3 linked regions of the Macaca fascicularis genome follow. The protein of the gene in region 1 binds, or shares a complex with, the protein of each later gene. Links are inferred from orthologs where the notes say so. Each region holds a gene or a part of one and is shown in the gene's direction. Other genes may lie near its edges. The genes, in order: RAD9A, RHNO1 and HUS1.

Evidence for each region.
Region 2: the proteins of RAD9A (region 1) and RHNO1 are in contact, whole or in part, in a crystal structure (PDB 8WU8), measured with the Homo sapiens proteins. The link is inferred for Macaca fascicularis from reciprocal best matches to the Homo sapiens genes RAD9A and RHNO1. Residues at the interface, in NP_004575.1 of Homo sapiens: Val41, Ser44, Arg45, Ser46, Ala47, Tyr48, Glu130, Leu132, Gln133, Ala134, Val135, Glu165, Tyr181, Glu183, Thr216, Phe217, Cys218, Gly244, Pro246, Val261, Leu262, Ala263, Thr264, Leu265, Ser266; in NP_001239428.1 of Homo sapiens: Thr88, Lys90, Phe91, Pro92, His93, Leu94, Thr95, Phe96, Glu97, Ser98.
Region 3: the proteins of RAD9A (region 1) and HUS1 are in contact, whole or in part, in a crystal structure (PDB 3GGR), measured with the Homo sapiens proteins. The link is inferred for Macaca fascicularis from reciprocal best matches to the Homo sapiens genes RAD9A and HUS1. Residues at the interface, in NP_004575.1 of Homo sapiens: Leu157, Pro158, Pro161, Val176, Ala186, Lys191, Ala192, Met193, Val194, Thr195, Glu196, Met197, Cys198, Leu199, Gly200, Asp203; in NP_004498.1 of Homo sapiens: Thr84, Asn87, Arg90, Ala91, Lys93, Thr94, Phe110, Ser121, Ser123, Ser126, Arg127, Ile128, Val129, Thr130, His131, Asp132, Ile133, Pro134, Ile135.

What each region holds. Positions count from the first base shown.
Region 1 is NC_088388.1:7,055,903-7,059,646, reverse strand, and holds the start of RAD9A (cell cycle checkpoint control protein RAD9A), read left to right. Parts: upstream 1-1,270; 5' UTR 1,271-1,320; exon of another isoform or gene 1,321-1,600; intron 1,601-3,744. UniProt on the Homo sapiens protein: Component of the 9-1-1 cell-cycle checkpoint response complex that plays a major role in DNA repair. The 9-1-1 complex is recruited to DNA lesion upon damage by the RAD17-replication factor C (RFC) clamp loader complex.
Region 2 is NC_088385.1:3,748,244-3,751,987, forward strand, and holds the start of RHNO1 (RAD9, HUS1, RAD1-interacting nuclear orphan protein 1), read left to right. Parts: upstream 1-1,334; 5' UTR 1,335-1,408; intron 1,409-3,744. UniProt on the Homo sapiens protein: Involved in microhomology-mediated end-joining (MMEJ) DNA repair by promoting recruitment of polymerase theta (POLQ) to DNA damage sites during mitosis.
Region 3 is NC_088377.1:82,497,552-82,501,295, forward strand, and holds the start of HUS1 (checkpoint protein HUS1), read left to right. Parts: upstream 1-1,219; 5' UTR 1,220-1,270; coding exon 1,271-1,322; intron 1,323-1,368; exon of another isoform or gene 1,369-1,864; intron 1,865-1,987; coding exon 1,988-2,115; intron 2,116-2,207; coding exon 2,208-2,384; intron 2,385-3,744. UniProt on the Homo sapiens protein: Component of the 9-1-1 cell-cycle checkpoint response complex that plays a major role in DNA repair. The 9-1-1 complex is recruited to DNA lesion upon damage by the RAD17-replication factor C (RFC) clamp loader complex.

The sequences.
Region 1 (3,744 bases):
TGCACACATGATCACTAAATCTGTAGGATAAAACTTCTAGAATTCTTGAAGCAAAGGCTTTCTTTCCAAGAAAGTGCACCAATTTATAGTGAATGGCAATGCCTGTGTCCTTAACGGACTACCCAGCCTACACATCAATGTCATCATCTTGCAACACTCCCAGAGGGAGAAAGGGCAGGCATTATGATTACCACCGTTTTTAAGCAATTAATTAATTAATTACTTTTTTGAGACAGAGTCCCACTCTGTGGCCCAGACTGGAGTGCAGCGGCACGATCTTGGCTCACTGCAACTTCCGCCTGCCTCCTAGGTTCAAGTGATTCTCATGTCTCACCCTCCTGAGTAGCTGGGATCACAGGCATGTGCCACGACGCCGGCTAATTTTTGTATTTTTAGTAGAGGACGGGGGTCTCACCATGTTGGCCAGGCTGATCTCGAACTCCTGACCTCCGCTGCTCCACCCCCTTCGGTCTCCCAAAGTGCTGGGATTACAGGCGTGAGCCGCCGCACCCGGCCCAATACCATCGTTTTCTAGAAATGAGTAAACTGAGGCTCAGAGAAGTAACTACTTAGTCTAACAGAGCCGGAATCAGATCCTGGGTTTCTAGATTCTGATTCCAAGAGCCTAACTCGGCAGTGGGGAAGGTGGCTCCTGGGCAGTCAACTGACTGCACAGTTCCGCCCAAGGCGGGACCTGGATCTAGAAGTGCTCGGAGCTCGCGGGTGGGAGGATCAGGATGACTGCTGCTCCCGGAGCCAGCTTTCAACTCCCACCCCGCACAGGAGCCTCAGCAGCGCGAGGCGTCGCCCAGACCAGACCTGGAACCCTTGCAGCACGACCGCGGCGCGCTTCCCTCCGGATCCAGCTCCCACCGTCAGAGCGTCCTCCCTCCGCCGCGCCCCGCTCAGCCCAGGCTGGGGCGGGGCCTCGGAAGCGGTCGCCCTCGCCCCGGACAGGGCGGTCCCTCGTTAGGCCAAGTTTTCAAACGGCAAAATCAACCACGCGGAAGAGACTCTGCCTTCTCTTCACTCCGCATCCCAAACGCCTCAGAGAAACTGCCTTTCAGACTTTCGCGGCCTCTCCTGTGCCCGCAGCGCCCGGGAGCTGGGGACCCGGGTTAGCCACATCGACCGCAACGTTCGCGCGCCACCTTGTGTCCGTTCCTTTAGCTTCCAGGGACAACCCGGAAACCACATTTCCCAGCGTGCCTAGCGCCTCTGCGCAGGCGCAAATAGTTTCCCTCGTTGCCATGGGAACCTCGCCCCTTCTAGAGTCCCGGCCGCTTGACTCAGCGAGGCGCGGTGTGGTTTTTTCCTGAGGTACTCTGGGGCTGGGACCCGGTCTGCAGAAGGTCCAGGGGGCGGCGTAGGGGGATTGAGGAGAGGAGACCAAGCCGGCCTTGCCTCCGGGACCAGCGCTTCCAAATAATCTGGGGCGTCCCGGCGTGCACACGCTCCTGAGGCCTTGCCGTTCTGAGGAAAGGGGCTGGCGAGGCGACCAGGGTCCGCGATGCCGGGGTCCGGCTGTGGCCCGCGAAGGCCCGCTCGCCCGCGCCGGCGTCTTGTCACCGCGAGCCGAGGGCCTTTGCGCGGCCGACAGGTACTCCCGGGAGCTGGCAGCCCACGGGGAGGGTTCGCGGCTCAGGTGAACGCGGAGGTAGAATCAGACAGGGCGGTGAGTGCGCCCGGGGCTGGATCTGGCTCAGCCGCTGGTGGATTCGGAACCCGGGAGGCCCCCAGGCCCTGTGGGCTTCGGTTCCCCCGCTCTGTAAAATGAGGCTTGGACTGGAATTCTAGTGCCCATTGCGATTCCGTTGCAGAGCCGTCCCTGGCTCTGTGTGACCTACGAGTTCCTTCTTCTGTAAAATAAGGAGGCTGAAACGGATGATCCCTAACGTCTCTTCCGACGGTGCAGTATGTTACACACTGCTGGCTCCATTGCCCCTTATTGCACCCCAAGTGCAAGAAGAAAGAAAGGAACCTGGGATGATCTGAGCAAGACTCTCAGCTTGGGATCTAGAGTCAGAGAAACTTGGGTTTGTGACTTTGGACAAACTTATTACATCTCTTGAGACTCAGCTGCTTCATTTGCAAGATTGGGGATAATGTTAATACTACCTCCGGTTTTTGAGGATTAAATGAGATGACACATGTAAGTTTTTAGCCCAGGGACTGCATAGAGGAAGTGCTATCCCAGGTCCCAGCTATCGTTTCTGACAATTTCTACAACAGTCCCTAGCCACCATAAGACCTTTTCTTAATTTTTGAATTCACTTTATTTCTGGGCAAGTTCATTCTCCTAGGAAGGACGGTTTTTTGTTTTTTGGTTTTTGTTCGTTTGTTTGTTTTGAAACAGTGTCTCACTGTCACCCAGGCTGGAGTGCAGTGGTGTGATCTCTGCTCACCCCACCCTCCTCCTCCTGGGTTCAAGCGATTATCGTGCCTCAGCCTCCTGAGTAACTGGGACTACAGGCGTGTGCCATTACTCCCGGATAATTTTTGTATTTTTTGGTAGAGATGGGGTTTCTCCCCATGTTGGCCAGGCTGGTCTCAAACTCCTGGTCTCAAACTCCTGGCCTCAAGAGATCTGCCCACCTCGGCCTCCCAAAGTGTTGGGATTACAGGCGTGAGCCACCACACCTGGCTAGGCAGGATGGTTTTGAGGCTGATTTTGATGGGGAAACCTGAGTCTTTTTACCCAAGGTTGGATGCTCAAGGCCAGTGTATTGCCTCCATTCAGCTGTAGGCTGAATTATAGCGTTACCACACAGCATTTAGGGAGGATGCAGGCTTAATGCCACATAGCAGGGTAGACACTTAAGGTTCATAGAGGATATGAGTACTTACATGTTATGATGCAAAAGCAGCTGAATATAGAATTATGTATTTACATAAGACTGGTTACTTTCATGGTTGTAAGGAATGCATAAGAATTCTATGCTGCTTGCATTGAGTTCAAGCTTTGTGTTAATTGAGAAAATTGTAACAAGGAGTTTTAAATTAATGAAAAAAGTATATATTTTAAAAATCTGGGAACATCCAATAATTTCACAAACAAGCCTTCATTCGTCCAACAAACATCTTGTCTCACTTTATCTTCCAGGCTGGAGGGCAGTGGTATGATCTCGGCTCACTGCACCCTCTGCCTCCTGGGTTCAAGCGATTCTTCTGCCTCAGCCTCTCAAGTAGCTGAAATTACAGGCACACACCACCATGCCTGGCTAATTTTTGTATTTTTAGGAGAGGTGGGGTTTCACCATGTTGACCAGGCTGGTCTTGAACTCCTGACCTCAGGTGATCTGCCCACCTCAGCCTCCCAAAATGCTGGGATTGGCCGGGCACGGTGGCTCAAGCCTGTAATCCCAGCACTTTGGGAGGCTGAGACGGGCGGATCACAAGGTCAGGAGATCAAGGCCATCCTGGCTAACACAGTGAAACCTCTTGTCTCTACTAAAAAATACAAAAAAAAACTAGCCGGGTGTGGTGGTGGGCACCTGTAGTCCCAGCTACTCGGGAGGCTGAGGCACGAGAATGGCGTGAACCCAGGAGGCGGAGCTTGCAATGAGCTGAGATCGCTCCACTGCACTCCAGCCTGGGCGACGGAGTGAGACTCCGTCTCAAAAAAAAAAAAAAAAAAAAAAAATGCTGGGATTACAGGTGTGAGCCACCGTGCTTGGCTTTCCATGAATATTTTTTGAGCACCTACTGTGTACATGGAACTGTGCAGGGTGCTCTGAGGGATAT
Region 2 (3,744 bases), on another chromosome or scaffold:
AGCAACTGTAATTTTTTGACATTTGTCATCTGCAGAGTTCACAGGCCCGCCACACCTCTACCTCCAAATCTCAGTTTTACTTTCTTTTTTTTTTTTTTTTTTTTTTTTTTTTGAGACGGAGTCTCGCTCTGTCGCCCAGGCTGGAGTACAGTGGCCGGATCTCAGCTCACTGCAAGCTCCGCCTCCCGGGTTCACGCCATTCTCCTGCCTCAGCCTCCCGAGTAGCTGGGACTACAGGCGCCCGCCACCTCGCCCGGCTAGTTTTTTGTATTTTTTAGTAGAGACGGGGTTTCACCGTGTTAGCCAGGATGGTCTCGATCTCCTGACCTCGTGATCCGCCCGTCTCGGCCTCCCAAAGTGCTGGGATTACAGGCGTGAGCCACCGCGCCCGGCCAGTTTTACTTTCACTTCAGATCTTTCCAGGCTTCCCTCTCTCCCCGCATCGATCAGTAGATATTATTCCTCTTTTTCCACAGGATATCTAGGTCTTAATTTTTTCTTCTACTTTCTGACCAGCCTGATATTATTATTGCCAACACTTTCTTGCCCGGGAAACTTCCAGAGTGGTCCTCTGAGCCATCTCCATCCTGAGCGGGGAAATCTTGCTACATTCTCAGGACCCAGGAGAAGGGCCCTGCAAATGGGTAAGACGGAGGCAGTGCTGCCTAGTGGTGAGAGCCTGGGAGCAGGGGAGTATGTGTGCAGGTTGGTCTTTGACTCAACGTAGTACAATTGTGCTCAGTGTTCATCTCAGCCGCAGCCGGCCTAAGAAAGGCCACCCCAGCCCTCCCGAGGCCGTGGGCAGCGTGCAGAGGTCAGACTTCCAGGGAAGGCCAAGGGGCGCTTTAAGTAATGAGACGGCCCCGGCCAGGAGGTTGGATGCAGAAAACATTTGCACCCGGGCTCAGATTCTTCCCGTGTGGCCCAAACCTCCACTCGTGGCCCGTGCCCTGCTGCCAGACGCCCTGACCTCCGCGCCCGGAGGCCTCGCTCCCCGCCTGTGCCCAGGCCAGGCCCGGGACTCCATTCCTGTATCCCGCTCACCTCCAGACTGCAGTCGCCGCCGCCGTTGGGCCGTGGCTCCGAAGGCGGGCTCCGGGCTCCTCCAACCTGCGGGCCGAGCCAGGGCCCCCGGACGGGGGCTCGCGCCGGACCGGCCGGGTCCCCGGCGGTGCGGGCCGGGTGGGAACCCCGGGGGATCCCGGGAGGGGAGGGGGTCCCTGGCCGGGGCCGGGGGTGGGGTCTGGCACCGGAGCTTTCAGTTTGTTCCGCTGTTTGAAATTGGCGCCGGCGGAGCGTTAAGGTCACGTGACGGAACGTCGCCAATCGGCGCCGGCCTTGTCTCGGCGTTCCGGGCTCGAAGGCTGTGCGATCTGACAGGAGCTGCGGCCCAGTCCGGCCCGGGCTGGTAAGGCGGGCCGCGGGCCGGCTTGCGGGGGAAGAAGTGGCCGTGGGGCCTGGGAGGGGCCGGAGGGGTCCCCGCCGCGTGGGTGGGCGAGCGGAGGGACAGTCTGGGGACGTGCGGAAGCGGCGCGACAGGCCCGGGTCCCTGGGTCCGCTTTCCCTGCCGCCATAGTCACGCCGGGCGACACGCCCCCGCTTCCCCTCGGGCTGCTCTGCTCCCCTCTTCCAAGGTCGGCTTCGGTTGATTTCCTTCCTGGGGAAAATCGTACCCCGTTTTCGTACAGTGAACGATCGTCTGCTCCCCCCGATTAGACTGAGGGTTCTTTGAGGGCTGTGTATTATCTCAGCTTTCTTCCATCTTGAAAAAAATGTCGGCCCCACGAACCCTACCTCTGCGCGAAATCTTCAAGTACTGACCTGTCTTTGGCTCCTCCCAAAGCCAAGCCTTCGGCTATGGTAGACGGTGGTGCTTTCTTTATTTACTTAGTCAACCAGTCTAGTTGAGCACCTGCTCTGTGCCAGGTCCCGCCAGGTCCTGAAGATACAATGGCAGACAAGGTTCTTTCCTTCCCCCGGGCTCACAGTCCAATCGTGGAAAAGGGGCACTGATATTTTAAAAGAATCAAATAGTCCCGGCGCGGTGGCTCACGCCTGTAATCCCAGCACTCCGGGAGGCCGAGGCGGGCGGATTACCTGAGGTCAGGAGTTCGAGACCAACCTGGCGAACATGGTGAAACCCCATCTCTACTACTAATAACAAAAAAAATTAGCCGGGCATGGCGGCACATGCCTGTAGTCCCAGTTACTTGGGAGGCTGAGGCAGGAGAATTACTGGAACCTGGGAGGCGGAGGTTGCAGTGAGCCAAGACTGCACCGCTGCACTCTCCAGCCTGGGCAACAAAGTGAGACTCTGTCTCTAAAAAAATAAAATAAAATAAAATAAAATAAAAGAATCAAATAAACAAATGTGGGCTGGGCATAGTGGCTTACGCCTGTAATCCCAGCACTTTAGGAGGCCGAGGCGGGTGGATCATTTGAGGTCACGAGTTCGAGACCAGCCTGGCCAACATAGCGAAACCACTTCTCTACTAAAAATTAGCCGCGCGTGGTGGTGCATGCCTGTAGTCTCAGCTACTCTGGAGGCTGAGGTGGAAGGATGACCTGAGGCCGAGAGGTGGAGGCTATGGTGAGCCGTGATCACACCACTGCACTCCAGCCTGGGTGACAGAGGAAGACACCGTCTTCAAAACGAACAAACAAATGTGGCATTATTGCTGTAAAGTGAAACATGAGGGGTTAATGATACTTTGAGTATTTACAATAAGATCTTGAGAGGTAGGACAGGAAAGGCTTTTCTAATGAGAGCTTGGTGTGAGATCTGATGCCTTTTACAAAGAAAGGAGGGAGCCGCGCTAAGCAGAGGGAATCAGGCGTGCAAAGGCTGGATGGCAGGAGGAAGCACAGTGAGTACAAAGGCTAGGGAATATCTGAAGAGTTTGAGCTAATTGACCTGAATGGAGTGTGGTGTGAGTTGAAGCTGGAGCCAGGGGAAGCGGGGCCTTAGCCATACAGAGAAGTTTTGTGCTTATCCAAGAATTAAAGGAAGCCAATCATAAGCTTTAAGCAGAAGTGAACCCAGGTCAGATTTGCATTTTAAAAGGTCAGTCTATAGCGGGGTTTGCTAGAGTGGATTAGGGCGGAACAGTTGGATATTGCAGTACTCCAGGCAAGAACTGCTGGAGCTTGAAAAATGGTGGCGGGGAGAGAGAGAAGAAAAAGAAGGAGACAGCGTGAAAAAGGGGCATTACGAAAACATGTTTAAGAGGTAAAGTTGACAGGGCTTGATGGTGGGTTGGATGGGAAATAGAAGTGTCAAGATTTTTGGCTGCATAGCTGAAGGAATAATGACACCATTCCCTGACCAAGGGCCCTGGAAGATAATCACTTTGGCCAAGAGGTGGGGGTGGGGTTGTCAAGGGAATGATCATGAATTCAGTTTTTGTTTTTTTACTACAAAGCAATGCTCAGAATGAGTTCAGTTTTTTTTTCAAAAACAATTTATATATTTATTTTTACTAATCTTTTTATTTTTTAGAGACAGGGTCTTACTTTGTCCCCCAGGCTGAAGTTCAGTGGCATGACCTTGGCTCACTACAACCTCAACCTCCTGGGCTCAGGTGATCCTTCCATCTCAGCCTCCTGAATGGCTGGGGCTACAGGCACACGTCACTACACCCAGCTAATTTCCCTCCCCCCCCGCCCCCCGAGACTGAGTCTCTCTCTGTTGCCCAGGCTGGGGTGCAGTGGCGCGATCTCGGCTCACTGCAAGCTCCGCCTCCC
Region 3 (3,744 bases), on another chromosome or scaffold:
CGCCATTGCACTCCAGCCTGGGTAACAGAGCCAGACTCCGTCTCAAAATCATCATCATCATCATCATCATCATCATCATCATCATCTGCATTGTCTTGATTCTATATGTCAAGTTAAAGACAACGGTCTAGGCTCCTATTTGCAGAGGGCATTAAAAATAACAATTAACATAGATAATCTTTAGTCTTTGAAAAACCAAATTAGATACAATTGTTGCTTCATTTCCCCCTCTAAAATTTCTTTCCTTTTGGGCCGGACGCGGTGGCTCAAGCCTGTAATCCCAGCACTTTGGGAGGCCGAGACGGGTGGATCACGAGGTCAGGAAATCGAGACCATCCTGGTGAACACAGTGAAACCCCGTCTCTACTAAAACTACAAAAAACTAGCCGGGCGAGGTGGCGGGCGCCTGTAGTCCCAGCTACTCGGGAGGCTGAGGCAGGAGAATGGAGTGAACCCGGGAGGCGGAGCTTGCAGTGAGCGGAGATCCGGCCACTGCACTCCAGCCTGGGCGATAGAGCGAGACTCCGTCTCAAAAAAAAAAAAAAAATTTCTTTCCTTTTAAAAAAACCTAATGACATTATTTATGCTAATAAGAATTTTATCGGATGTAATAAAGTTCATCTTGAGGCAAACTGCAGAATTACCACTTAACGTCAGTGTTCTTTAAGCATCCCGTCTTTACCAACTAGCCAGTAATATGTTAAATTTTTTAAAAAGTCATTTAAAACAGTTTTCAGAACCTTAATCAACCAAGATGCTTCAATACCAAAGTACCGGTACCGTCATCGGAGGCTAGAGGGTTTAAAGCTGCTCTACCTTAGAGAGGTATATTTAAGATAATATTGTTTAACCTTTATAAACGACTAATTTTATTTGGATATTTTTAAATAGCACTTGGAGTAGGTGTCACAAAATTCTTTCAAAACGTGAATTCTCAGAACCACCTCCCCAAATCTGGGGCTTGAAGCCACCGCCTCACTAAAAGCAGATCCCACATTACCCCGGAGCGCCGAGGCATACCCGGAGACTGGGACCCCACCTCCTCGGGGCGTGACCTGTGATCCTTGACCCGTGACCCCACCTTCTCTGGGGCGTGACCCCTGGCCCCACCACCCCAGGGGCGTGGCCCGGAGGCAATCCTGGCAAGAGCCGGGTAGCCCGAGCCGGGCGGAACCACTGTGCGCGCCGCCGTGTTTCCGGGCCGGGACACTCAGGGCGCGACACTTATCTGTTACCCACAGAGGCCGTCGCGGCTGCGGCAGGCGCGGCCATGAGGTTTCGGGCTAAGATCGTGGACGGGGCCTGTCTGAACCACTTCACACGTGAGCAGGGAGGCCGGAGGGGAGCGAGGGAGGAACGGAAGGAAGCAGTGAGCGCGCGGTGGGGACCGCGGAGGAAGATCAGAGCGGGGATGGGCGGTGGAAGGGGCAGCGAGATGGGCCGCGGGAGGGGCCGCGGGAGGATGGGGCAGGCATAGGGGTGCTGGTGGAGGCCGCGGGATGATGGGCCGGGAGTGCGCGGGTCGGATCGTAGGGCACTTGGGGTGAAGGCGGCTTTCAAGGGACGTTTCTGAAACTTGATTCCGATCACGCGGCTTTAAAAGCAAGCGGCCACTGCTCCCACAGACGGCTTTATCAGGCATTGACATTCCTTCAAGGCCCCATTCGTCCCTCCACCCTGACAGTGCCTAACCTTGCATTGAACTCTGTACTGCGGTACCCAGTAGTCAATAAGTTCGTGTTAAATGAATGAATGACTAGTAGGTGCCTGTTTTTTTATTTGAGCACTGATGATGTATGCTGTACATCTCCCCGGGTTTGTTGGGAGAATTGCGTGACATCATACTTTCCAGTGTGATACCAATGTAAGTGGTTATTTTTCCACCGAGAAGTTGCACCATGATGAACAAGAAATTCTGTAAAATAAGTTGGTCTCTAGGATACATGATGTGCGTTTTAGTGATTCCTTATTTTAACCCCTGCTTTAGGAATCAGTAACATGATAGCCAAGCTTGCCAAAACCTGCACCCTCCGCATCAGCCCTGATAAGCTTAACTTCATCCTTTGTGACAAGCTGGCTAATGGAGGAGTGAGCATGTGGTGTGAGCTGGAACAGGTGAGCAAAAACTTCTGAGAGGCCTGCAATCTGCAGATTGTCTCTGGAAAGACCACAAGTGCCCTGCCTCATCCCCCATGTTTTTCCCTTAGGAGAACTTCTTCAACGAATTTCAAATGGAGGGTGTCTCTGCAGAAAACAATGAGATTTATTTAGAGCTAACATCGGAAAACTTATCTCGAGCCTTGAAAACTGCCCAGAATGCCAGAGCCTTGAAAATCAAACTGACTAATAAACACTTTCCCTGCCTCACAGTCTCCGTGGAGCTGGTGAGTAGGAGAGTCAGGGTTTCAGAAATTTCCCACAGAAGTCTTGGCTTCGAAGGAATAGACATAGTTAGCCTAGCCTCTTTAGCAATAAATATTGTTGAAAGCTATTTGGTTTATTTAAATTTAAAGAGCTGGTCCATAACTATATTTTGCATTAGAGTCAGTTCCTCCTCATTTTAAAATAGTGTTGTTATCCTATGCATTCGGCTAGACTGCTGCTTTTTCCAAGCCATAAAACTTCCAGCCTCTCTATTTCTTGTAGTGGTATTGTCACCTTGTCTAGAAATCATGGTTTCTATGCATTTTCACCGTTGACACATTTTCTCCCCACTCCTACCCTGCCTCATCTGCTCTGATAACCTTTAAATGGCCCCTCATTGTTCAGTACACATATGTTTTATATGCTACTGCCAGATGAATTTAGTGCACAGCTGTCCTCCAAACACACAAATACACAACCTCATGCGCACACATACAACCCAGAGTTGCTCTTGTTACTCATGGAATGAGGTTCGTATTTCCTTTTTTTTTCCGAGACTGAGTCTCTCTCTTGTCACCCAGGCTGGAGTGCAGTGGTGCGATCTCGGCTCACTGCAACCTCCGCCTCCCAGGTTCAAGTGATTTTCATGCCTCAGCCTCCCAAGCAGCTGGGATTACAGGCGCCCACCACCACACCCGGCTAATTTTTGTATTTTTTTAGTAGAGTTGGGGTTTCACCATGTTGGCCAGGCTGGTCTTGAACTCCTGACCTCAAGTGATCCACCTACCTCGTCCTCTCAAAGGCCTCCCAAAGTGCTGCGATTATAGGCATGAACCACCGCGCCCGACCCAACTTTTCTTCATAACTCTCGACTCTGCAGTCAGGCAGTTCTTAGAGCTAATTAGGGTATTTCATGTCACAACATAAGTTTGGTATGTTTTTCCTATTAAGGAAAAGCAAGATAGTAACGTATAATATTTTAGGTCCAAAAGTGCAAGATATTTTGTTCTGCGAGTCTCATAGAAGCCCCTAGAAGTAAATATAGTTTGCCTTTTAACTGTTTAGAAACTGCAGCCCCCTGAGTGTCCTATGCCCAAAGAGTGGCCTTCTCTTGGTTGCATCAACATAGCAGGCTTGCTTCTTTCTGCCTCATGGCTTTACATGTGCTGTTTCCCCAGCCTGAAACCCTGTCCCCTTGTTCCTGTCTTCCCACGGCTGCTGCTTTTGGTGGTATCTGAAATGTCACCTCGTCAGTCTAAGGAAACTCCCCCACACTCACTCTGGTCACTGTGGTTTGCTTTCTCACGACTCTAATGAGCATGTCATGCAATTTCATTTGTTTGCATTTTTATTGATCTGTTTGTTCCACTGGAATATTGA